Danio rerio: one gene and its partners. The protein of the gene in region 3 interacts with the protein of the main gene of each other region in a biochemical or structural test. Links are inferred from orthologs where the notes say so. Each region holds a gene or a part of one and is shown on either strand. Other genes may lie near its edges.

Region 1 (3,500 bases), on a different chromosome or scaffold from region 3:
TGCACCTTATGGATGTTTAATAAATGTTTTTAAAATAAAACTATTCTCTGTGTCTTTAAGTGTTTAATAAACCATCACATTTTTGGCTTTATTATATGAGATATTTTCAGTTTTAGATTAAAAGTGTAATATGTATGTCTATTTTAGTATTTTGTTCATTGGTAATAAATAGTGCACCAATATAGATCAAATCAAAAACCATAAAGGATGAGGGAACCGTGTACTGAGAGCGCGCAAGAAAATTTGTGTGTAAGCAGTGCATATTTGAGAGTGAGCAAAGTTGCATGCAAGCAACGTATTATATTTGGGAGCTCACACGCAGTTTTGTCTACAAACAGAGGAAATCGGTGCACGAGCAAAGAGATTCACTTGCTCGTATTACTTGAATATGCTCTTCACTTGTAATACTGCACTCTGAACATTTGTCAGTCAGTGAAATAACGCCACAGCGGAGCTAATGGAATTTTTTGAGACTTGGGTGAACCGTTCACGGAGCACCACATTTGATTTGAGTTGAATTTAAAACACTATGAAGAGATTTTGTCTGAAACGAGTACATCTGTCTGTAACGACATCTTTATGATCCGTCCATGCATGATCATAGGGTGAACCAGATGACCAATAAATCTTGGCTAGAAATTTCAACAGCAGTGAGGAAAGGAGGAAAGTTTTTGTAGAAGTTTGGAAAAATCTAAAGAAGATGTTTGTTAAAAAAAAAAAAAAAAAGAGGCCCCCAAAAACATTCTTAATGATATTAATTATCTTTTTATTCGTCTGATTTTGTCTGTTTTTTTTTACCGCCCCCTGTCATTTAACAGAATATCTCAATGGCAAATGCACCAAGTATAAAAGCCTCATCCATTTCAAGAGGTGCAATGCAAGACTACTATGGACATTTTTAATGAACCAAATCACTTTTATTGTCACATCATCAGCAGCACATGTACCATGATGAGAATGACGGAATACAACGACATACTCCAAAATAAAAACAGTATACAATTAGCAATGTTGACCGTAATGCGTAGAAGACAATGAAGAGGTGTATACACAGTCTGACTGTCCTCATGCACCGCCTGGTGTAGATGCCCTGGAAGAAGGGAAGCTCACCTCCTACCATGCGGCCAACAGTTTGCACAATCCTATGCAGACCTTTGCGATTGCTGCTGTTTCCATACCAGGTTCTGATGCAGCCAGTCAGGATGCTCTCCATAGTGCAGATGTAGGAGCGAAGGATGTGGGGGCTCATTCCAAACCACCTGAGAAAGAAGAGGAATTGTTGTTGTCTTTTTCTCAGCACTAACAACGCCTCTTCTTCCTCAGGCGTCTCAGGATGGAGGAGAGACATTTTGAGTGGTTGCTGTTTTGAGATATCCAGACCTGTATGACTTCACAAATTTTGATTATCACAATGTTATTAAATATTACAGTTATGACAATAACAACAGCAACACTCATGCACAAAATACAGCTTATTCAGTTTTTTTTTTTTTTAAAGCACACCTAACTTTTCAAAAAAGGCAACGCAATGCACCTTGAATGAAAAAGCAGATTTGATTTTTGTCAACCCCAAAATCTGCAGAGCATTAATGCTTTCAAAAAAACTTCAAAAACATGGGCCAAAGTTTTGTATTCTAGCCTTTACATAATACATATTTTTCAGTTATGTATTGATGTATCAAATCATCTAATTTGCCTTTTTTCAATTCATAAGGGAGCCATGACGCCTGGCCTGCCCATTTTCAGTCCTATGATGCCGTATGGGACGGGCCTCACACCGCAGCCTGTGCAGAACTCCAACAGCTTGTCCCTCCTGGAGGAGCAGCAGCGACAACAGCAGCAGCAGCAGGCGGCCTCACAGCAGCAAGGTGGGATGGTGGGAGGTTCAGGCCAGACGCCCCAGCTTTACCACTCAACACAAGCCGTCTCCACAACAACAGCTCTGCCAGGCAACACACCACTTTATACCACACCCCTCACCCCTATGACGCCTATCACTCCTGCCACACCGGCCTCCGAGAGCTCTGGCATCGTCCCGCAGTTACAGTCAGTGTCCTTTCTCAATTAACAATCCTGTCAGAGATGTTGATTTGCGGTTCAGACAAACACATTGATTTTGTAAGAAATATTGGACTATCATGTTTAAAGTGTGTATTTATTTTTAAGGAATATTGTGTCCACCGTAAACTTGGGGTGCAAACTTGATTTGAAGACGATAGCACTTCGAGCCAGAAATGCTGAATATAATCCAAAGGTAAGACTTCTTGTTTTGTTTGGAATTGGCCTATTTATTTATTTGCTTGGAGTTATTAGTTGTTCATTACAAATGTTGTAAATCCTAAAACAGGGTATCTGTGAGGTCTTAAATGTATTAAAAGGTGATTAAATCAATTTAGAGAAATGTAAGGCCCTTAAAAAGTATTAAATGTTGCTTTATAAAGTATTAAGTTTTGTATCAGTATACTATTCTAAAGTTTGCCTGAATTTAATCTGTGAATATTGGGATTCGGTTTATGAAATGAATAAAGTCCCGCTGGAGTTCACATCACACTGCTTTGTGCAATGCAGTAACCAAGGAAACACTGTTACTCCTGTAACAAGATGGTTCAAGATTCATTTATTGGTCACATTCTATAGAACCATTACATAACATGAACCACCAAAAGAACTAGAGCGAAAACAAACAAACTAATTAATCTCGAAAATGAAAACACTAAGCCAACATCAAAAATATCAAACAGTAATCTTAAACTAGATTCTTAAAGTTTGAGAACAAACTTTGAGGCTGGCTTGTGAAAGCCTGACGGTAATAGTTTATTTAAACAGTTTTAAAAAGTATGAAAAGATAGATAGATAGATAGATAGATAGATAGATAGATAGATAGATAGATAGATAGATAGATAGATAGATAGATAGATAGATAGATAGATAGATAGATAGATAGATAGATGTTGTTAGCATGATTCTAGCATGAATTAGCATAATGTTAGCATGATTCTAGCATGAATTAGCATGTTGTTAGCATGATTCTAGCATGAATTAGCATGTTGTTAGCATGATTCTAGCATGAATTAGCATGTTGTTAGCATGATTCTAGCATGAATTAGCATGTTACTAGCATGATTCTAGTATGAATTAGCATGTTACTAGCACGATTCTAGCATGAATTAGCATGTTACTAGCATGATTCTAGCATGAATTAGCATGTACCTAGCATGATTTTAACATGAATTAGCATGTTACTAGCATGATTTTAGCATGAATTAGCACGATTCTAGCATGAATTAGCATGTTGTTAGCATGATTCTAGCATGAATTAGCATGTTACTAGCATGATTCTAGCATGAATTATCATGTTGTTAGCATGATTCTAGCATGAATTAGTATGTTACTAGCATGATTCTAGCATGAATTAGCATGTTACTAGCATGATTCTAGCATGAATTAGCATGTTGTTAGCACGATTCTAGCATGAATTAGCATTTGACTAGCATGATTC
Region 2 (3,500 bases), on a different chromosome or scaffold from region 3:
TGCTGTTATACTCCTTATTAAATCCAGAAACTAAGCTTTTTTTGCACAGGCCTATCTGAAGAATTTGGTGCCAACTATTGATCAACAGTACAAATGACTAATTTGACCTCTTTTCAAATCAAAAATGCATAATATGGTGTCATGGCTTTTCAATTAAAACATGTGGTTATAATACAAGTCAATGGGGGAAAAACAGCCAGCAACAAAAAATTAGGAAGAAAAAAAATGAAAATCACCCAAAACAATTAATCAAAGGCAATTTTGTTTCACATGTTTTATTTCACAGTTAATTTTTTATAGAATTTTTTTCTTTTCACCAAATCATTGACATTGCTTATACATTTGGCTATTAAAGAGTTAAAATCCTGTAATTTTTCTAACCAATTTAGTAGTTTTGATCAGAACTGAGGTTGATTAACAGATTTATGCAAAATAAAAGAAAAAAAAATATTTATCTGATGCATTTTTACAGGAGTCTAATTTAGTGGATGTGTTCATCTCGAACATAACAAAAGGGTAGTAAATTTGCACAGAGGCTATTGTTGAGGTTTTTGTTTTTTATTTAAAGCATTTTCTCAAAATATGTGTCAAAATAAGATTCGTCACCAGAAATCATTTTGCTAGCTGAAAAAGTTGTGGCCAAATGAATACTAAAAATCAGCCCAGAGTAGATGAAAACATCCCCAACAGTACACAAGGATTAATATGAGACACTGTTAAATAACTTACAAAACCAAACTTAATTTCTACAACGTATAATAAACGCAACGTTTTAGTGGTGACACTAGTGCACATTATCTAGGAGAATTAAAAATGTAAAGAATGGCCATACTCTAATGTGTACTCTGAGTGGTGCCATTTTATAGTCTGCATTACCTCCATGGTTTGAACTTCGTGAAAAATAAATAAAATAGGATGCTAGACTCTCGGGAAGTAATCTTTTTTATATGCTGTAAACACATTTAATATTAATTAGTATTATTATGTGTACTAAATTGTACTGACTTTGTGTTAAATGTGAATGAAGTGTAATATCTTCCTCTTGTTCATTTTTTAGAGGTGCTGTTTTATGCATTAGTGATTCAGGGAGTACCCTGAGATTTTCTAACGAACATTGTGAATTGCTTTTTACAGTTCCAAGGTCGACTTCACAGCCACCCAAACTGGCTTACTGCCACAATAACCTTCTTCACATACACTTTTTCATATGAATGTTTAGGATTCTCTGTTGCAGATTCTCTTATTATACCTCATTATTGAAGTGGTTTTATACAGCGGTTTAGCAGTCAGTGTGTTTGTGTCGGTCTGTGACATTTCTGGCTGCGACGCACTCATCTAATTTAAAATTTCATTTGGAGAGCGGGAACAGCGTGTACCTGCTCTCAGCTCCTAATCAGATCCAAAGCTGTTGATGCGCTGCACTGCACTCTTTGTTGCTTGTGACGGAACAGTATTTACATTTTGCTAATACAAAGTTTCTGAAGGAAAACCTCTCTGAAAGCTGAGCTGAAGAAAGATCTGGCATGAGTTTCTACTTGTGCATTTTATTGTTTGAGCATGATTGCTTAAGAATGATGAAAAACAAGCACTGCTTTATTTCTCCACCTTTAGGTCACAATGACTATGTTTGTCCAGCGACCAACCAGTGCACTATTGACAGAAACCGTCGAAAGAGCTGCCAAGCATGCAGACTGCGCAAGTGTTATGAAGTAGGCATGATGAAAGGAGGTACATTTTATATATATATATATTACTATTTTTTTCTTTTCCTCTCCATCTATATGTAAATATCATCTGTCATTTGATCATGATTTAAAGCAGCCTCTGTAGAGTTTCTCCCAGTGTCAAGAATTGAGCAAAATTCGAAATTAAAAGGGATCTTCTCCAAAATTATTCATCCTCGTGCTTGACTGTATATATTATATTTACATAAATATGATTAGACATATACACAAAGTAACTTATAGAAGTGAGTACAGCCCTCACATTTTTGTAAAAATTATATATATTTTCATGTGACAGCATTGTAAAATCCCACTTTACTACAATGTAAAGTACTGAGTACTCAGCTTGTATAACTGAGTAAATCAGCTGTCCCCTCAAAATAGCTCAACACACAGCTATTCAAATTTGAGCTTACATTGTAGCTGTGTAATTCTTCTCAGTGCTGTTACATGAAAAAAATATATTGAAATATTTGCAAAAAACTATTTACAAAAATGTGAGAGAAGATACTGTTTTGCATGTGTTTGTGTGTATATAAATATGTATTTATGTATGTTATGCATCATTCTATTTGCAGATTCCATTAGTAGAAATTTAGCTGCTAATAGCCTACATTATATACATACATATATATATATATATATATATATATATATATATATATATATATATATATATATATATATATATATATATATATATATATATAATTACTGGCCATTTTATTAGGTACACCTTACTACCTTCTTTAAATTCAGACCTGCCTTAATCTTTCGTGGCATATATTCGACAAGGTACTGGAAACATTCCTCAGAGATTTTGGTCCATATTGACATGATAGCATCATGCAGTTGCTGCACATCCATAATGCGAATCCATTCCACCACATCCCAAAGGTGCTCATCAGAAGATGGGTCCTTCAATAAGTACAACAATACTCAGATTGTGGCGTTGAAACAATGCTCAGTTGGAACTAATGGGTCCAAAGTGAGCCAAGAAAATATCCCCCACACCATTACACCACCACCAGCCTAAACCATTGATTCAAGGCAAGATGAATCCATGCTTTCATGTTGTTGACGCCAAATTCTGACCCTACAATCCGATTGTCACAGCAGAAATCAAGACTCATCAGATCAGGCAACGTTTTTGAATCTTCTATTGTCTAATTTTGGTTAGTCTGTGCAAACTTTAGCCTCAGTTTCCTGCTCTTAGCTGACAGATTGGACGTGTTGTGCGTTCAGAGATGCTCTTCTGTATACCTTAGTTCAGTTGTAACGAGTGGTTATTTGAGTTACTGTTGTCTTACTATAAGCTGGAACCAGTCTGGCCATTTTCCTCTGACCTCTGGCATCAACAAGGCATTTGCACCCACAAACTGCTGCTCACTGGAAATTTTCTCTTTTTCTGACCATTACCTTTAAACCCTTGAGATGGTTGTGCATGAAAGTCCCAGTAGATCAGCAGTTTCTGAAATTCTCAGACCAACAACCATGCCACTTTTAAAGTTACTTAAATCATCATTCTTCCCCATTCTGATGCTCAGTTTGAACTGCAGCAGTTCGTCTTGACCATGTCAACATACCTAAATGCATTGAGTTTCTGCAATGTGATTGGCTGATTAGAAATTTGTGTTAAAGAGCAGTTGGACAGGGGTACATAATAAATTGGCCAGTGAGCATATATGCATGTATGTATGTATATATATATAAAGGTAAATAAAATATTTTTGATTGATTTTATTCCACTTTATTACATTTTGACTGACAAGTTTT
Region 3 (3,500 bases):
CATTGCAGTAATAACACAGTAATATTGCCATAATATTGCTGTAATAATGTCATAATGCAGTAATAACGTAGTAATAATGCGGTAATGTAGTAATAATGCTGTAACAACACTTAATTAACACTGTAATGATGCAGTAATGTATTAATAATGCAGTAATAACAAGTAATTAACCCCGTAATAATGCGGTAATGTAGTAATAATGCAGTAATAACACTCAACACCGTAATAATGCGGTAATGTAGTAATAATGCAGTAATAATACTTAATTAACACCGTAATAATGCGGTAATGTAGAAATAATGCATTAATAACACTTAATTAACACTAATAATTCAGTAATGTAGTAATTATGCTGTAATAACAGTTTATTAACCATAATAATGCAGTAATAATACTTAATTAACCATAATAATGCAGTAATAACACTTAGTTAACACTGTAATAACTAGGTATTAATGCAGTATGTAATGGCAACACTGTAATAAAGCTCACCCGGGTCTGAGGGCAGGTACTGGAAGTCCATGGGCTCGCTGACCTCGCGGTCAGATGGTCTGCGCAGCTGCATCTTGACACGCAGCGGCTCGGTCAGGTTAGTGTCGCAGTAGGGCGGCGTGCGGAACACTATCGCCACCTGCCGGTGCACATCAGCCTGAGAGAACGAGCCCTTACTCTCCCACGAGTCCAGGAAGAAGCGCACCTCAATGTCCTCTGAAACACACACACACACAGCATTTTAACCCAGCCCTATGAACAATATTAATACTGAAAATGATCAGTATAAATAAATATATGAATGAATCAAACGTTCAGTGAGACAGTATATGAGCGATGCTGAAACAGGCTGTGTGTGTGTCTCTGTGCTTTTGTGTGTTTATGTGTCTGATTGAGAGTGTGTGTTTGTCTTTAAGTATCCGTGTCTGTCTCTGTATTTGTGTGTGTGTGTGTCTCTGCAGTGCCACACACACACCTTTCTGTACTTTATCACACAGCAGGAAAATCTCGTCTCCTCCTCGACAGCTGCCGGAGTTTCTATTGACACGGCAGATCTTCAGCTCAGCAGTGTTAGGAGCTCCTGCAGGACACAAACACAGAGTTACACACACACAAACACACACATAGATGCACATACAGAAACACAAACAGATACACACAAACGCATACAGATGCACAAACAGACACACACACACACACACACACACAGTCGTACTGTTGTCGTATATCGGCTGAGAGACGACGGGCTCCAGAGGGAACAGATCTCCGCTGCTCAGGGTGATGGAGACCTGGAAACACAGACGCACCGCGTTCAGGTCGAACTCCTCCTCCCAGATCTTTGCGTCAGGAACTACACACACACACATGCACACGTGCAGAGAGAGAGAGAGAATCCAGGTTGCAGATTAACAGTTATGTGTTTGTAAAATGTCATTCACAAATACAGAATGACACAAAAATAAACAAATGTAATTTTGATCCCGCTTGCTTTTGAAGCGTTGTTGATCGAGTTCTTAAATGCCTATGATTGATCACACGCTCAACAGAGAGGGCTGCGATTGGCTCTAATGGTCAGCGCGACTTTGGTGTTGTTCAGCAAACAGTGACACGGACACTGATGTTAATCGGCCGCGGCGATCAGCTGGTCCATTATAGACGGCGTCGCGGTGGAGAAAACTCGCTCGGCAGACATGGTCGTAACGTTACGTTACAAGTACTGTTATTGTTGTAGCAGCTGAGAGAGGAAATAAAACAGACCCCCTAGTTTTGTGCGATTCTGTGATCGCTGAATCCAACGCAAAAATCAACAAAAAGTCGCACATTTTTGCGATTCTGCAAAATTCTTATTTAAACGCAAAATAATCAAAACAAATTTAAATCTTATTAAACAACAAATTCCAAACCAAATTATATTTGTATTTGCAATTGAGTGTGTCACATGACTTATAGATGTTGCATACGCAGCACACGAGATCAATTTAAGTGTCTCTCGAAAAACGGCGTCTCACCTGCGCCCTCACAATCATTACAGTACATGAAAGCCAGGTGGCGGCGTTTTGCAGCATGTGCAGTAAACAGACGCAGATTAAGTGCGAGTGATTTACATGTGAAGTCAATGCAAAGATGCGATTAGGCATCCTGTGGCGCAAATTGTGCGTTTGACGCGCTGTAAAATAAAGTGTGAGCAAACATCTAACAAACAGAGCAACAGAGCAGACAAAACAGCAGCAGCTTACAATGACGGAGATTGGTTGAGGGATGACTTTAGCAAAGAATAAATAAATAAACAAAAGATTTCAATAAAATAAATTCGCGAAACACTAGAGGGTCTGATAAAACAAAACCTCACGAACACGCCAGCAGGTCAAAGGGACTACAGAGAGTGAGAGAGAGCTGGGTTCTGTTGTACTTCCCTCTCAGTGACAGACTGTCCAGCAAACTCACAAGCAGTCAATTGTGCACAGTTTCTGCTTTGTAAGTTGTTGAAGCAGTTTTAATTACTCACAGCCTCCTCCCTCGCTATAGTAAGCTACCGCCATATAGCGCATGTGTGATAAATGACGTCAGTATATAATAAGCGGTTATGATTATTACTAAACCAATAACACACTGTTCACGTCTGATTCTCAGTGCATTGAAGAAACAATGAATTCTGACAGCCCTAGTAACTTATACATACTACTAATTACTACTGACACTACTACTGAGGACTAGGCCCACACGGAATCTGCACACGCAGAAATCTGCAGATTTCCAGCCCATGGCTGAGTCTATTTAGTTACTTGTGTGAATGTGTGTAATCTTATATTTATTCAGTTTTTAAATAAATTCAGTAATAATGTTGACGAGTATTAAAATATTGACATGATTTATTCACAATACAGCTGTCTTGTCTTAGATCTATTATATGAGAGACTTGCTTTGATTACCAAACAAGTGGATCTAATTGGATTTGCATAGTAAACAGTAAATAAAAGTTTAAAATGCATTATTTGTTGACTTCATATATTAAGTTTTTAGTTACGATACTACTACAATCCTTCCGCATAAATCTGCAGAATTTTTACTAAATTCTCAGCAGAAATAGTAAAAGATGTCAGAAGAATCTGTCTGGCCCTACTAATAACTGTATATACTGATGAAGTCAGAATTATTCACCCCCCCCCCCCTTCTTTTTTAAATATTTTCCAAATGATGTTGAACAGATTGAGGAAATGTTCACAGTATGTCTGATAATATTTTTTCTTCTGGAGAAAGTCTTATTTGTTGTATTTCGGCAAGAATAAAAGCAGTTTTTAATTTTTTAAACACCATTTTAGGTCAATATTATTAGCCCCTTTAAGCTATATTTGTTTTCAACAGTCTACAGAACAAACCACTGTTATACAATAACCTGCCTAATTCCCCTAACCTGCCTAATTAACTTAATTACCCTAGTGAAGCCTTTAAATGTCACTTTAAGCTGTATACTAGTGTCTTGAAGAATATCTAGTCTAATATTATTTACT
Region 4 (4,011 bases), on a different chromosome or scaffold from region 3:
TGGTTCCAAAACTTTTTTTTTTTTTTTGCTGTACACAATGGAAAAAAATTGGTAGACACTGACTTTCACAGTATTTATTCACAACGGATACCGGTTTACAACATTCTTCAAAAAGATCTCCCATTGGGTGAACTATCCTATTAAAGTCCTATGTGATACTTACTCCCCGGGCCGTTTATATCGAAGTTGATGTTTAGCATCATGTTGGTGTTTTGTGACATCTAATTTTTACAAGATGAGTTGTTAGGGCAACGCTCAACCCCCAAACCTGGAGGACCAGGACTTACGCACATACACTACAGACAGTTTTGCTTACCCAATTCACCTGTAGCGCATGTCTTTGGACTCTGGAGCACTTGGAGGAAACCCGAAGAGGACATGAAGACTTCAGATGCAAAAACCTATAAATTACACCTGATATTTTGTCCAAAAATAAGCATTTTTTAAAAGCCTCCTGGAATTATGTTCAGTTATTTCACTGTAAAGGCAAAGAAAATAACTTATTTGTAGTCAAAATGACTGAACCTACACACAGGAGAAAATGCTATTTTAGAAGTACATATCAAATGGCATTTAGAGGTTTTTGTATCTAAACTCTTCACATGCAAACTCCACGCAGAAATGCCAACTGACCCAGCCGGGACTCGAACCAGCAACCTTCTTTCTGTAAGGCGTGATCTAAAATATATTTTAAAAAGTTAACTCACAAACATTGTGTCCAAAAATTTTTTTAAAATAAAAATAAATCATTTTATAGACTGTTTCATTTTGTGAGGGAAAATGGTGTCTATGTTAAATAGCAACTTTTTCGATAATATTGTTTAAGGGACAAAATAAAAGCTTCATTTGTTTCAGTTTTTCTTAAAAAGCTTAATTTGACTACACTTCACAATGTTGAAATTCAGATGAAATGGCAAAAAAATAAAAATAAGTCGAGCAAAGCTATTCATAAAATGTATTGTGATGCTAAATTAAGTCAAAATTGTTTCAAAATTTGAGATACTGTCATGTAATTTAGCATTTCAACCACCCCAAAATAAATCCCTCAATATATTCTCACCTTTTTATCTTTGAACATCCAAGGAGCAGTTTAGTCATTCCGTTTCAAGACACCTTCAAAGCAGATAAATGACATGAAAGGGGTCAACAGACACCCCATTCAGGACCCCTCCTCCTCATGAGCATGGCCCCCGAGAACTTCCGGCAAAACCGGAAGAACCTTTGTTTGTGTTTGTCAAGATGGCGGCTGGAATGTATCTAGAGCACTATTTGGACAGTAAGACTATTGTCTTCATTTTGATATTTATCCCCACAAATAAACATCGTCCGTGTTTAGATTGTCAAGCATGCCTGCAAGTTTCACATACACACGCCATTTACTATAAAAACGACCACGTAACGAGACAAAGCAGCGCTTTATTACGCGTTATTGCGATCAGTAGCTTCTGCTAACAGGCTATGAACAGTGTTATGATGTCAGCGACGGTTTATCGCTTAATTGTAGTGTTACTGTGACAGGATGTGATGTTTCTACTATTAATGTATTGAAATGATAAACATAAATAAACCCTGGAGCACATTGTTAAGCTTCAAATAAAGTGTTTAGCCCTGTCGAGATAACAAATAGTTTATTTAGTGCCATTTTTAAAATGTACACAGAATTGTGGGTCTTAGATGCTTTGTGTTATTGGTGTAAAGTTGGTTTTATTTTAGCACATTTGGACTTTTACCTCATTAATATAGTTTCAAAAAAGTATTATTTGCTAATTTTAAATAAGGATATAAAATTAGCAGCCAGTTACTATCAAAGTACATTATTTACAGTCAGTAAATTAGTGCTAATGTTGTTTTAAAGTCATATTTACATGCGAATTCAGACTAAATATTTAAAGTAGGCTGGTAAACAATATAGCTACTGTGTCACAACAAGTAGTCACGTTGTGTTTATAACAATTTGTCATTATAACGAATCTGCATTAGCCTTTTTAATTTCTGCTTCACTATTTTCTTGGACTCCAAAGTATAAATGTGAGAATATAAAGCCAATTTTACCTGAATCTTCATGGTGGTGCTGAAGACTCATATGTCACTTGATCTATTTAGGCATCGAGAATCTGCCATTTGAGCTGCAAAGAAACTTCCAGCTGATGCGAGATCTGGACCAGAGGACAGAGGGTGAGTCGGTGTAGTAATATCTTTTATAATGCGTGCTGTTACTTTATTTCCTGACTCTATTATTTCTTCTATAAAATGGTACATCTCTTTTAAATGGTTGTTTGTTTACATCTCTTGTTTCTGCAGATCTGAAAGGGCAGATTGATTCTCTGGCTCGTGAATACACCGCTAATGCTCGGACACTGTCATCTGAACAGAAGCTCTCGCTGTTAAGACAGATCCAGCAGTCTTATGGGAAGTGCAAAGAGTTCGGAGATGACAAGGTGCAGCTTGCGATGCAAACCTATGAGATGGTTAGTGAAAATCTGCATTTGCTCTTTGCTAAATAGAAAAAAAAGTAGATATATATATACAGTGCTCAGCATATACAAGTACACTTCTCAAATCTCTCTTTTAAATTCTTATTTTTAATAGAAAGCTATACAATATTATATTTGTGTATATACAGATTAGATTATCAGTACTGAAGCCAAACCTGGAACTCATTTAACAAAATAACTTATGATCATGCTCCAAAAACTAGTACACCCAAATTGATATGTTATAAAAAAAATATTAAATGCAAATTTGACAAATTTTAAGAGAAGCAAAAAATAATAATAATTTAAATTTTGTTGATATTTTGTAGGTTGTCATTTTTATTTCTATTATCTTTTTAGTTTTTTTAACTATTTTTTCTATTCTTCTATTTGTTTAAGTGATAATTCACCAAAAAATTAAATGTACTCACTATTTACTCTATATTTTTTATTTACTTTTAAAAAATCCCCAAAATTTATCAGATATGATGATAATTCAGATTTAGTAAGAAATAATAAATCTACTTTTATACAAGTTTGTTTTCCATGCAGAAATTGTGCCGCATGTCAGAATCTAGTAAAGTATAAAGAATTTTAGAATCAAGTAACAGGTAAAAATAATAAAACAAAAAACTGCATTATTATATACATATATATATATATATATATATATATATATATATATATATATATATATATATATATATATATATATAAAGGGAAGTCATCACGTTATTTGAAATTGCGAATTAGTGAACATAAATCAAGTATACGATGACAAGATATAACTTCGGCAGTAGGAAGACATTTCAGATGATGACATTAAACAGAAGAATGTATGGGGGAATTACCAACCTACATCACACATGATGTCACACAGGTTCAACCACGCATACCAGTTGCAAAAAAAGACCGGTTGCAATAGCAAACATGTCGTGTTGTGCTGTAGGACAACCTAGAACCAGCTACTGCGAAGGCACGGTCACCTCTGCATTTCAGCCTTGACCCAGGTATGCACAACAGTTTCTGGTTAGAAGACCGAAGAGACAGACCAGGCTGATGCTCAATTAACATGTCTGACAGATAAGAAGTTGCCAGGCCATTTAGAGATTTAACAACCGAGAGAAGCATTTTAAAAGTTACTCTATAGTGCACAGGCAGCCAGTGCAAAGAGCGTAAAACTGGTGTAATGCGTGTTGTGTGTCATGTTTCTTGGTACCTGTTAAAAGCCTTGCAGCAACATTTTATACTAATTGTAACCAGGATTACAATAGTCCATTCTAGTAGTAATAAAAGCATGGATTATTTTTTTCCAAACTTTTTTCTAGATAAAATAAATTTGACAGTTTTTAAAAGTTGAAGCTGAAAAAAGCAGGAAATGACCACTGCATTTAACTGTTTGTCAAATCTTAAGCCATCATCCAGAATTACACCTTGATATTTTATCCAGGGCTTCATAAAAAAACTTAATTTTTCTAGATTAACCATTGGGGCTCTGGAAGAGTTTGACGGGCCGAACAAAATCATTTCACTCTTA
Region 5 (4,030 bases), on a different chromosome or scaffold from region 3:
TAGGTGGTTGCTATGTTGCTTTGGATGCTTGGTTACAAAGTGTACTTCCAAGTCTTTATTACATAATGTACAGTTGAAGTCACATTAATCAGTCCTCCTTTGAATTTTTTCTTATTTAAATGCTTACCAAACGATGAATACAGAGCAAGGGATTTTATACAATTCCTTTTAATATTTTTTTTTTCGGAAATTAGTTTAATTTTGGCTAGAATAAAAGTTGTTTTGAAAAGCATTTTTTTGTAGTAAAATATTTTAAGGTCAAACGTATTTGGCGTCTTAAGCAATATACTGTTGAAGTCAGAACTATTAAACCCCCTTTGAATTTTTTTCTTTTTTAAAATTTTTCTCAAATGATGTTTAACAGAGCAGGGAAATTTTCACCGTTTGTCTGATAATATTTTTTTCTGGAGAAAGTCTTATTTGTTTTATTTCAGCTAGAATAAAAGCAGTTTTTTACATTTTAAAAAACATTTTAAGGTCAAAATGATTAGCCCCTTTAAGCTATTTTTTTTTCGATAGTCTACAGAACAAACCATTGTTATACAATAACTTCCCTAATTACCCTAACCTGCCTAGTAAACCTAATTAACCTAGTTAAGCCTTTACATTTTACTTTAAGCTCTATAAAAGTGTCTTGAAAAATATCTAGTAAAATATTATTTACTGTCATCATGACAAAGATAAAAGAAGTCAGTTGTTAGAAATGAGTTATTAAAACGATTGTGTTTAGAAATGTGTTGAAAAGCCGAAATTTGGGAAAAAATAAACAGGGGGGCTAATTATTCAGGTGGGCTAATAAGTCTGACTTTATCTATATATTCTTTATTTAATGTAACTCGCTTAAGTATAATTATTTTTTTATCATCCACCACAACTTGCTTTCCTCAAGAGTCTGGCTAAATTAAGGTATTATTTATGTCCATGCCACAAACAGTAAGTGGCGAAATTGTAATACATTAAGTATCAAATTTATTCAGATTACCACTAATTATCAAAAAGTCCCAGCCATTATCAACCATCCTCCTCCTCCTTCTCATACACCACACACTAAGCTCTTTCACCATCCACCCTGATGCTCCGCTCCCTCGCGCTCCATGCCACGTTTTCCAGCGGGCCCCTCAGCTGTTTGCCACCGGCTCTCTGGGGACTCAGCTACACCCTGACGAAAGGATGAGAGTGAGAGAGAGAGAAAAGGACGAGAGAGTGAAATAATAGAGAAGAGAGGCGAAGAGTGCAGAGCAGAGCCAGGCACCGTAGCAAAAATATCCGTTCTGTGTTGCAGGAACTCCCTCCTTTTGTTTGTGCCGCCCGTCTCAATTAGGGCTTCCAGCAGAGCTGCCCGTTCCATCAATCCATCCATCCATCCATCCATCCATCCATCCATCCATCGAGGACGCAGCCTATACAAGGACAGCCAGCTGTAACGACCGCACGCAGGGAGCGACGGAGCGGCAGGGAGGGGGAGAAATAATTAAATAAGTCGCAAGGAAGAGGAGAGATTGAGTGAACAGAGGAGACGGCGAGGGAGGAGGGGATGTAGCCGGTGCGTCGTTTGGAGGCTGCCAGGGGAAAATGTGCTGAAACGAGCAGAAAACAGGAAGATACCGGTGAGCACCGCAACGTCGACATCTTTCCCATTTTGTCCACCCCTTCCATCTCATTTTGTGTGTGCGTGCGGATGCGAAGGCGAATCCGCCGTGTGCCTGCATGTTTGATGCATTCTGTTTATTCTCATCCCACCTTGCGGTGACTCGATGGCTCGTCTTTCGCTTGCCACTCTCGGGTCTGAACCTGTTGGCGAGTGCGGCAGTGTTGGTGTATGTGTGTGCGATTTGCCTACCTGGCATGTTTAGTCAGACTTCCAGAGAGCAGCTAGCATCCTTTCATTTAGCTTTCACACACAAAGGAAGACACAGACACACTCTCTTAGCTCTTGGTGCCGGAGACCCGATGCATCCTAAGAAGGCTGACGGTATGTGAACGGCGCTCTATCAGGCTATTGTGTGCATATTATTAAGAGTTTAGGGCTAACTAATAGATGGAAATGTGGGCTGGCGACTCTGATTTGTGTCATTATGATTGGTTTATCACATCCCTTCGCTATTTCCAAAGAGGTTGGTTAAAATAGATGCTCATGCATTATTTAAGTCTGACTGTCATAATTAGCGAGATGTCAGTTATCCAGCAGCTCTTGGCCACGATGCACCCAAACACGAGGCTCTGCATCTCTCCCGTGACTGAAGACACAAGGAGTCACATTCATGTTAGTTTGTTTCTAACGTTCTTGGGGAGTAACAAAGGGGAATTGTGTTCGGTTGGAACGCCAGGATCCTGATACTGTTGTCGAATGACGTTAGATTCATTTCTGAGTTGATTTTTGTATCAGATGGACCTGCAGACACACTGGGAGTCCGGTTGAGCTTTGGCTCAATGAACCCTGTTTGGTTTGTTTTCATGGTGCATTAAGTCTCCAACTTGTCCTTGGTGTGTTGCAGCCAAAAGCAGCAGTTTTTGAGTGGTTTGTGTCTTAAATGCTGCTCGGTGTTGCTGTTTTTAGCTGCAGTGTCTGTGTTGGGATGTCATATGATCCACCTGTTCCAGTATTGATTGGCAATAAATCTAAATATGGCCACTGCAGCACACCAGCGCCTGCTCGGGAGAACCCTGATGATGCGAAGTAAATGTCTTCTAACAAATCTGTGAAGGGTTATTGATGCGTTTGGTTATTTATAACTTGGCTGGTGGTGGTCCAGTCCTGATGTAATAAATGCGGGATGCTGTTTTTAAAGGTGTTGGTCACCTAACAGAACTAAAGCAGATTCTTAAGCAGAACACTATAGAATGTTGTTAGCTGAAACTGTAGTTGATTTATAAAATGCAGGTCAATGATTACGGGCACCTTTTGAGAGTCAGAAAACATACACAAGCAAATCAAAACAAATAATCATGACTGGTAATAAATTAAAGTTGCAATCAAATTAAAATTTTGTCTTCCTATTTTTTTTATACTATAAATGATGGCTGTGTGTGCTTCATTATTTTGTAAAGATTAAATACCATAACCTTCCCTTTCCCCTGAAATGACTTTTCTTCACTTCAGGTCACATGGAAAGGCTTTTGGGAGGGACATGTCTCCTTACTTTTGTCCATTCATCAATCTTCCTTTATTTTGTTAGCAGTATCCATCTTGCAATGATACAATCGGTTCTCAAATAACAAAAAACTTTAATGTCTTGATCACAATTCAAACTACTAAAGACCAGCAGGGACAAAGCAACAATTGACTATTCATATCAATGGAGAGCTAGAGACTTCTGGCATTCTCCCAACTATACAAGTGACAACAACTGTTGGTGACTGTATGTGTGGATGTCCAGCAATACAAAAAAGCTGAGAATCCTTCAACCTTATCCAAATGAAGAACGACTTTCGTTAGCAACAGCCAATAAGAGCATTAGTAGAGCTCACATGATCTTCTCTCAGCTTCTGCACCAGCCGGTTGGATATTCAACTTTCTGTAGAGCTGTGAGTTAGCCGTTAGTCGTGTTTGTTTATTTCTTGTTAATCATTGTATGCCCTCTGCAATGTTTATTTTCGAGTGGCAGGAAAACTAATTGGCTGACATGAACTGCAAGCTGTTTGCCAAGGTTCATGTTCAGTCTTTTCTATAAACCTGTGCAGTTGTGTTAGTACTTGCAATAAGTTTCTGGCTGTCATTCACTGAATGGCCACTGGTATCACTATTAACAAGAGTTTTTGAATTCAGTATATAGTATCAAAGACTCTAGAATACTCCAGACATGTCAGTCGTATACTTTTGAATGGGGAAAAGCGTAAATGTCAATATGGTGAATGAAGCCCCGCCTACTAGTACAGGAGCCACATCACATGAAAGCAGCAAGAACTCAAACTATGCCCCACAAACTAGTAAACAGATTCGCCATTAAGACCAAGTTGTGAATTACTTCAGAAGACTAGCGGAATCGGACGATCGTTATTCAGAGAATGATAATGTGTAAAACAGCCATAA
Region 6 (3,500 bases), on a different chromosome or scaffold from region 3:
CCGTGACGTGTCTCATAGCTCGTGCTTGACTCTGGCAGGTCTGGCAGGTCTCATGAATAATTAAGCAGCCGGCTCTTCTTATAGGATAAGAAAACTCCGCTATGAATAATAATGAGAAACCGACGCGTCATCATTGCACTTGCAGTACTGCGCTACGTCGCCGATTTTGATCCCACCCCAAAAATCATTTTAAACCCGGAAGCTGAAATTAGCTGACAAAAGCTCAAAATTATCCAGTTTTCCCCACAATTAAAGCTGACAGGTGCTAACATTGTCTTAACTGATGCTCAACACACACAAATCTGTTAATATATAAAAAAAAAGTTTTCCAGGGTGTCCTGAACCTTTAACAAGGCATTTGTGCCCACTGAACTGCCGCTCACTGGATATTTTCTCTTTTTCGGACCATTCTCTGATCTGATCAACATTCATAGTCACTTAAACCCCCTGTCTTCCCCATTCTGATGCTTGCTTTGAACTGCCATGTCTACATGCCTAAATGCTTTGAGTTGCTGCCATGTGATTGGCTGATTATCAATGTGCTTTATCGAGCACTTGGACAGGTGTACCTAATAAAGTGGCCGGTGAGTGTATATACACATATGTATTGTGTGTGTGTGTGTGTGTGTGTTTAATTTGTTTCTATTTGTTTATACATTTGTTTGTTTTTTTGTATTTGTTTATCTGTCTTTTTGTATTTGTTTTTTTTATATTTTACCTGATATTGAAATTGTTTCTTAATATTTGTTTGTGAGAGTTGCATGTATGTAGGAAAAGTGCTATAAAAATAAAAATGTAATACTATCGTCTGTTGGGTAAAGGATGGAGCCTGTGTTGTGGGAGAAGTGAATGAAGAAGGAGAAATGACTGGAAAGGCAGTGGCTTATGTGTACCCTGATGGCCGTACGGCTCTGTATGGCTCTTTTGTTGACGGAGAGCTGATCGAGGCTCGGCTTGCGACTCTTACAACCCAAGAGAACAGCCGGCCGCACTTCACTGTTGATCCAGATAGTAAGCAATACTTTTATTTACAGTCTCATAAATCTTATCTGAAGATTACCCTTTGCATTGTATGTTGTGTTGTTTAAGGCAGTGTTTTACTCCTCCCAAAATGTAAAAAAGTAAAGAAAGCGTGTTATGCCGAGTTCTGACTTCATGATTTTAGCTCGGATTTTGACTCGCCGACAGGTTTTGAGAAATCGCAGACAAATGCCTGAAATCTCAGGCAAATCGTTCCTTGTTTACGTGAGTGACAATCACCCAGTGTGAATTATCAAAGACACGAACTTATAGAATTGCAGATGAGTCACCAACACGGTGAGATTACTGGCATGCTAAATATCTGGAGCTGTCAGCGATGCAAAATCATGCCGTGTGAAATGTGTTCTGATTGAAAATAACACCGGCGATTACTTACAGCCAATGAGAGAGCAGCATCCACTGGTGTGGGTATTTGCAGACCAGCAGGAGGTTGGGGGAGAAGTTAAAAGGGCTCATGTTCATTTTTCTATTTAAATCCAGCAAAGGGGTTTATATATATATTAATATAAAATATATTATTAAATCTGAAATGCTTAAAGCACAATTTGTTTCATATTTTTATTCTATTGTATTGATTTCTCTTTATTTGTATTTATTATCTTTCATTATATAACAGTAGTTTCTTCTGCAATTAAAAATATATATTGCCTAGAGGGGCTAATAATATTGACCTTAATAGAGGATTCAAAATATTTAAATCTGCTTTTATTCTAGCCAAAACAAAACAAATAAGCCTTTCGACAGAAGAAAAATATTACAGTGAATACTGTTAAAAATCCTTGCTCTGTTAAACATCATTTGGGAAATATTTATTTTAAAAAATTCTCAGGAGTGCTAATAATTTTGATTTCAACTAATAATCGTTTGAAATAATCGTGATTACAGTTATGACCAAAATAATCGTGATTATTATTTTTCCCAAAATCGAGCTGTCCTAGCCCAATGTGTTCTTAATCCGGCCCTGTCTGCTGCGTAAAACATATGCCAGAATAGTTGGCGGTTAATTACGCTGTGGCGACCCCTGATAAATAAGGGACTAAGCCGAATTAAAATTAATGAATGTGTAAGCTTACATTTTTGTAAATAATAATGCTAATTGTTATTGTGCACATGACACTCGACGTAACCTAGTGAAATTTGCATATTGCACAGGACTTGATTAACAGAATCATATCCGTTTAGCAGAGACGTATTCATGTGGTCAAAAGTAAATCGAACCGTTTTCAAAAATCAGAAAAACAAGCTATCCGATCAGAAAAAACTGCATAAATTTGATCTTTTTCTCTCATTCATTTCAGGTCCTATTTACTGCTATGATAAATCCACTTCATCCTGTATCGCTGGTCATAAACTGCTGCCTGACCCCTACGAAAGTCAACGGTTGGTGCAAGCTGTGATCAACCATGTAAACCCCAATCTATCAAATCTGGTTTTGCATTGAAAACATGTGCTTGTTTGTTCCAGTGATGGATTGTCTTGTCATTTCACCAGGATATTCAGCTGGTTCTGTACTATAGTATTGCACATGTCATCACCTTGTTGATTTCAAGCTGAAATGGTTTTATTTTTATGTTGGTTGAACAGTGTGTATGTGGGACAGTCGCTTATTTCCGGAGCTGGAGAAGGGCTTTTTGCACAAACGGAGGCTGAGGCTAACACTGTGATGGCTTTTTATAATGGTGTCCGCATTACACACACTGAGGTTTGATTGGTTGTGTTTTACAGCATTCAAGGCTAGAATTTACTTGATGAATGATGTGCTGAATTATTTTTATATCTGTGCTTAAATAAACAGGTGGACAGTCGTGATTGGTCCATGAATGGGAACACCATTTCATTGGACGAGGACACTGTGATTGACGTTCCTGCACCTTTTAATATGACAGAGAATTATTGTGGATCTCTTGGTCACAAGGCCAATCACTCCTTCTCTCCCAACTGCAAATACGACCAGTGAGTCTGAATATATTCTATTCTCTATGGTTATAATCCATTAAAAGTCCCCAATAGGTCGGAAGAATTACTCAGACTGTCCTGTCTGACACAAACACTCATGCCATATTCCAAAATAATCACATTTCTTCCCTATTTTGATGCTCTGTTAAAACTTTAACTGATGGTCTTGACCAGGGCTACATGACTAACTGCATTGAATTGCTGCCAAGTACTTGGCTGCTTAGATAACTGCATTGACAGGTAGTTGAACAGGTGTACCTAATAATGTGTCCATTAAATATATGCAAGTTTTAAGCCGTGGTCACACTGCACTTTTTCCCCATAGACTTCCATTCATATGCAAGCGAATGTGGCAGACCAGAAATGCAAGCTGGTGCGACAAGTTTCCCACGTCGCTGCATTGGAAAGTTCAAGCTCTGACCTGCGAAATCACATCATTATTCGAAGATCAAAAACGTGACCTCTTTGTACAGAAATTTTAAATATGGACCAGTCGCTCACTT
Region 7 (3,500 bases), on a different chromosome or scaffold from region 3:
TACAATGCTACAAAAGAATTACATATAGTTACAAGCAAGTTAAATGTACACTATCAGACCAAAGTCTTGTCACCTATCCAAGTTTATGATAACTTGTTCATTTGGTATCAAAAGTGGCTTATATAAAAGTCAAAGGCCTCTAGATTACGCTTATTTTACCAAAACCAAACATGATCATGCCTTGATTTTTAATGATTTAATTAGGACAGTAAGATCTGACTTTGCTTAGACAAAAGTCTTGCCGCTTAACAGAAATAATGTCCAATGTAGAATATAAAGTCATGGTGCAGTGGAAAAAGAATGAATATTGTGTATAACTCTCATGAGCTTGGAGGACTGCATCCATACATCTCTGCAAACTCAAATACTTGATTAATCAAGTCATCTGGAATAGCAAATAAAGGGTTCTTGCAGGACTACCAGAGATCATCAAGATTCTTTGGATTAATCTTTAATGACTTACATGTTCCCTAATGCAACCTCTCCTAACAGAATGAGGCCCACAGGATCAGCCTGAGACGTGTGGCAGTAGTTGGCACTCTTCGACACCATATCAGCAAAGTAAACACCTTTGCCAAACATGTAACCCGTCTGTATGAAAGATCACATAACAGTTTAGATATCATAGGAGAACAACAACAACAACAAAAAAACAATGAACAGTGCAGCACCATAGATCAAGAAAGAAATGGCTCTAATGCAGCTATTCATCAAATGGACCCTTTTCACATTTCCGGGTTTCTCAGAAGCAGAAGTCATCATAGTTGGAAAAACTTAGAGCGCAGTGAATAAGAGACTACAACAAGTAATGAGTAATGTTTTTACAATCCTATTTGCTGAAATATTTAAAGAAAAAATTGATTATGGTGTTATCAAGACTTTCAGAGAAAGAAAAAAAATATTGTGAGACTGATAACAGCAGCCAGAAAAAAAGAACAAGGTCAAATTTACTGTCCCGCCCCATAGACTTTGTATTGCAAACACTTTGCATAAGCGGCAATTAGTTTTTTTTTTGTAATTTGATGCAAAGATGATATAACATATATGAATACATATAAATGTTCATATGCTTTTTTTATCAAGATATTAAAAACTTTATTGGATTTAAGATGCTGATGACTGTTACACACATTATAACAGTCCTGTGAAAAGGGCCAATCTTAAGATAAAAGAAAGAAACTCACCACTGGGGCCTCCGGAGGAGCGATGCGGAGACCCTGAGACAGAATACCAGCATAGTTGGTGGTGCGCGAGCCGTGCCACAGCAGCTGGCGGTTGGGTAACTCTTTGAAGGGGCGATAACGCTGATACTCGCCCTCCCTCTCAATCTTAAAGATCTATGATGCAAAGACACAGCAGATGGAGATAACAGCGTGTTATTTTACAGCTATGGTATATGTACTAAAAATGGGGAAATGTGTGAAAAGTTTGCTTTTGAAAATCTGGGAATTAATCAAAACTTCAAACAATTTTTATACATTACACATTTTTTTTTAAATTTACAGTTTTTATTGAATACATCAGGCTCTTATGGCTCAAAAACTACAACAACTACATTAAGGACTTGAGGAAGAAACAAAAACTAAACAACAACTGATGCAATGTGGTTTCAAAAGATCGAAGATTACCCTTTGATTGTAACATTATAACATTAGTTTGAATAAAGTGCAGAGACAGTTGAAATCAAAATTGTTATTCCTTTAAATATTTCCCTATCCCAAATAAAATTTAAGAGAACATTTTTCACAGTATCAAGTCTTATTTCTTTTAGTCTGATTGGAATAAACGTTTTCAACGTCTAAGGTCAATATTATTAGCCCCCTTAATTTTTATTGGCTACAGAACCAACCACTTTTTTCCAATTACTTGACTTATAAGCTTAACTTGCCTTGTTAACCTAATTAACCCTTATTAAATAACTAGTAAAATATTCCATACCGTCATCATGGCAAAGACAAAAGAAATTAGTTATTAAACCATTAAAATTATAAAAAGTTATTCTCCCCTTTATACATCACTAGGAAAACATCTGAAAAATAAAAATGTATAAAATCTGAAAATGATCCTGCATCCTGTTAAATCTCTATGCCACAAGGTATTTCTAAAAGGGAAAAGAGTGTCTAACACAGTTGCTGTACATTTTTTACAGATAAATTTGAGATCTTGTAAAACACGATTAACTAAAAATGAATACTCTACATTAGGTATGGAGGACCAGGAGAGACGGTTAGAAATAAAATAAAGAATAAAATAATCAATTTAGTAATTGAAGCATTAAAATAAGTATGAATCACAATTTAAATGAACAAATAATGGAAAAATAAATCTACATATTTAAATGTGTTTTTAAATGACATGAAAGCAATAAAACAATGCATTTATAAATAACTTTTAAATGTATAAATAAATAGACAATTTTATGAATGTTTATTTAATTCATGTCCTAAACCGCTGATTAATCAACCAATGAAAAAGTGCATTAATAAATAATTTAAAATGCAATTAAATGCATAATTTAAATAGCTTTTTTAAGAGGCATTTGACAAATGCTTTTCTCGAGTTGAAAATAAATTGAGTTAAAAAATGCCGTTGGACCGCTCTCACTTGTAAATGAAAAATATTAGCGGGAAGCCAAAGCTCATTTTAGCAGGAGTTTAAACATCAGCGAAGCGGCTCAAATGTTAGGGTATTATGAACAAGTTTTGAGACGGTTTGTGGATGATTTAGTAGCTTTAGCTGATTTCTGTTAAAGAAATTCTCATCTGGATTAAGTCGATGCGTTTAGTAGTTCAAGTCGAAAATTTTTAAATGAAACACCCAAAGTTACATGAAACTCCGGAGGAAATGTGGTGGCTCGAGATCATGAGGAACATTCAAAACCAACTCATGTAAACACCATAATCATCTTATTGTTTTATTCATATCAAGGGAAAAATTGAGATTACTGATGTCCATGTAAATGTAGTGAGTGTTTAATCTCACCTCCTCAACATCCAGTGTGTAGGTGTTGTGAGTAGCAGCATGTGTGTTCTTCACATATTGAAGGATAAGCTGAGCCTCATGTGAAGACTTGTCGACGACCTACAAGCAAACAAAACAAATCAACATCAATCACTACAGCGCGACTTCACTGTGGTAACCATACACAAAACTTTATAGCTCTTGCAGTCAAAGCCATTTTACCTCAATTTTGGTTTTGAGTTTCTCATAGTTGATGTCAATGGGATCTTTTTCGTTGTTCTCCACTCCTCCCCGAAGCAGGCTGTAGGCCACCTCGATGTCCAAAAGGTTGTCCAGCATCTGCACCTTTTGCTGTTATGGATACACAACAGGCTTGAGTACATAATAATAATATTAATAATTATAATATTAAAATACCTTTAAGGCGTCTTTTAAAACCACTCAAGGTCAATGTACATAATTATCTCCATAAGGCCTTCACTGAGACATGTTATGATGGTTACACAAGTCTTACCTGGATGTAATCCACATTACTCAAT

What was found.
Region 1: the proteins of rela (region 3) and tbp form a complex in vitro, tested with the Homo sapiens proteins (2 studies listed by BioGRID). The link is inferred for Danio rerio from reciprocal best matches to the Homo sapiens genes RELA and TBP.
Region 2: the proteins of rela (region 3) and esr1 form a complex in vitro, tested with the Homo sapiens proteins (3 studies listed by BioGRID and IntAct). The link is inferred for Danio rerio from reciprocal best matches to the Homo sapiens genes RELA and ESR1.
Region 4: the proteins of rela (region 3) and ing4 form a complex in vitro, tested with the Homo sapiens proteins (3 studies listed by BioGRID, with this or other methods). The link is inferred for Danio rerio from reciprocal best matches to the Homo sapiens genes RELA and ING4.
Region 5: of the proteins of rela (region 3) and prkcz, one has a biochemical effect on the other in vitro, tested with the Homo sapiens proteins (2 studies listed by BioGRID). The link is inferred for Danio rerio from reciprocal best matches to the Homo sapiens genes RELA and PRKCZ.
Region 6: of the proteins of rela (region 3) and setd7, one has a biochemical effect on the other in vitro, tested with the Homo sapiens proteins (3 studies listed by BioGRID and IntAct, with this or other methods). The link is inferred for Danio rerio from reciprocal best matches to the Homo sapiens genes RELA and SETD7.
Region 7: the proteins of rela (region 3) and parp1 form a complex in vitro, tested with the Homo sapiens proteins (2 studies listed by BioGRID). The link is inferred for Danio rerio from reciprocal best matches to the Homo sapiens genes RELA and PARP1.

The regions. Positions count from the first base shown.
Region 1 is NC_133188.1:27,603,467-27,606,966, reverse strand, and holds part of tbp (TATA-box-binding protein), read left to right. Parts: intron 1-1,714; coding exon 1,715-2,046; intron 2,047-2,166; coding exon 2,167-2,254; intron 2,255-3,500. UniProt on the Homo sapiens protein: The TFIID basal transcription factor complex plays a major role in the initiation of RNA polymerase II (Pol II)-dependent transcription.
Region 2 is NC_133195.1:29,083,446-29,086,945, reverse strand, and holds part of esr1 (estrogen receptor), read left to right. Parts: intron 1-1,611; coding exon 1,612-1,728; intron 1,729-3,500.
Region 3 is NC_133182.1:1,073,541-1,077,040, forward strand, and holds part of rela (transcription factor p65), read right to left. Parts: intron 1,343-3,500; coding exon 1,208-1,342; intron 1,073-1,207; coding exon 968-1,072; intron 709-967; coding exon 493-708; intron 1-492. UniProt on the Homo sapiens protein: NF-kappa-B is a pleiotropic transcription factor present in almost all cell types and is the endpoint of a series of signal transduction events that are initiated by a vast array of stimuli related to many biological processes such as inflammation, immunity, differentiation, cell growth, tumorigenesis and apoptosis.
Region 4 is NC_133194.1:10,614,127-10,618,137, reverse strand, and holds the start of ing4 (inhibitor of growth protein 4), read left to right. Parts: upstream 1-1,211; 5' UTR 1,212-1,239; coding exon 1,240-1,276; intron 1,277-2,103; coding exon 2,104-2,175; intron 2,176-2,301; coding exon 2,302-2,468; intron 2,469-4,011. Other genes in the region: uncharacterized protein fam131ba, read right to left, coding at 317-401, 634-678, 1,061-1,078.
Region 5 is NC_133183.1:19,585,326-19,589,355, reverse strand, and holds the start of prkcz (protein kinase C zeta type), read left to right. Parts: upstream 1-1,230; 5' UTR 1,231-1,707; coding exon 1,708-1,972; intron 1,973-4,030. UniProt on the Homo sapiens protein: Calcium- and diacylglycerol-independent serine/threonine-protein kinase that functions in phosphatidylinositol 3-kinase (PI3K) pathway and mitogen-activated protein (MAP) kinase cascade, and is involved in NF-kappa-B activation, mitogenic signaling, cell proliferation, cell polarity, inflammatory response and maintenance of long-term potentiation (LTP).
Region 6 is NC_133189.1:50,828,359-50,831,858, reverse strand, and holds part of setd7 (histone-lysine N-methyltransferase SETD7), read left to right. Parts: intron 1-821; coding exon 822-1,011; intron 1,012-2,339; coding exon 2,340-2,421; exon of another isoform or gene 2,422-2,446; intron 2,447-2,625; coding exon 2,626-2,743; intron 2,744-2,836; coding exon 2,837-2,994; intron 2,995-3,500. UniProt on the Homo sapiens protein: Histone methyltransferase that specifically monomethylates 'Lys-4' of histone H3. H3 'Lys-4' methylation represents a specific tag for epigenetic transcriptional activation.
Region 7 is NC_133195.1:46,988,145-46,991,644, reverse strand, and holds part of parp1 (poly [ADP-ribose] polymerase 1), read right to left. Parts: coding exon 3,476-3,500; intron 3,313-3,475; coding exon 3,184-3,312; intron 3,082-3,183; coding exon 2,983-3,081; intron 1,338-2,982; coding exon 1,185-1,337; intron 592-1,184; coding exon 464-591; intron 1-463. UniProt on the Homo sapiens protein: Poly-ADP-ribosyltransferase that mediates poly-ADP-ribosylation of proteins and plays a key role in DNA repair.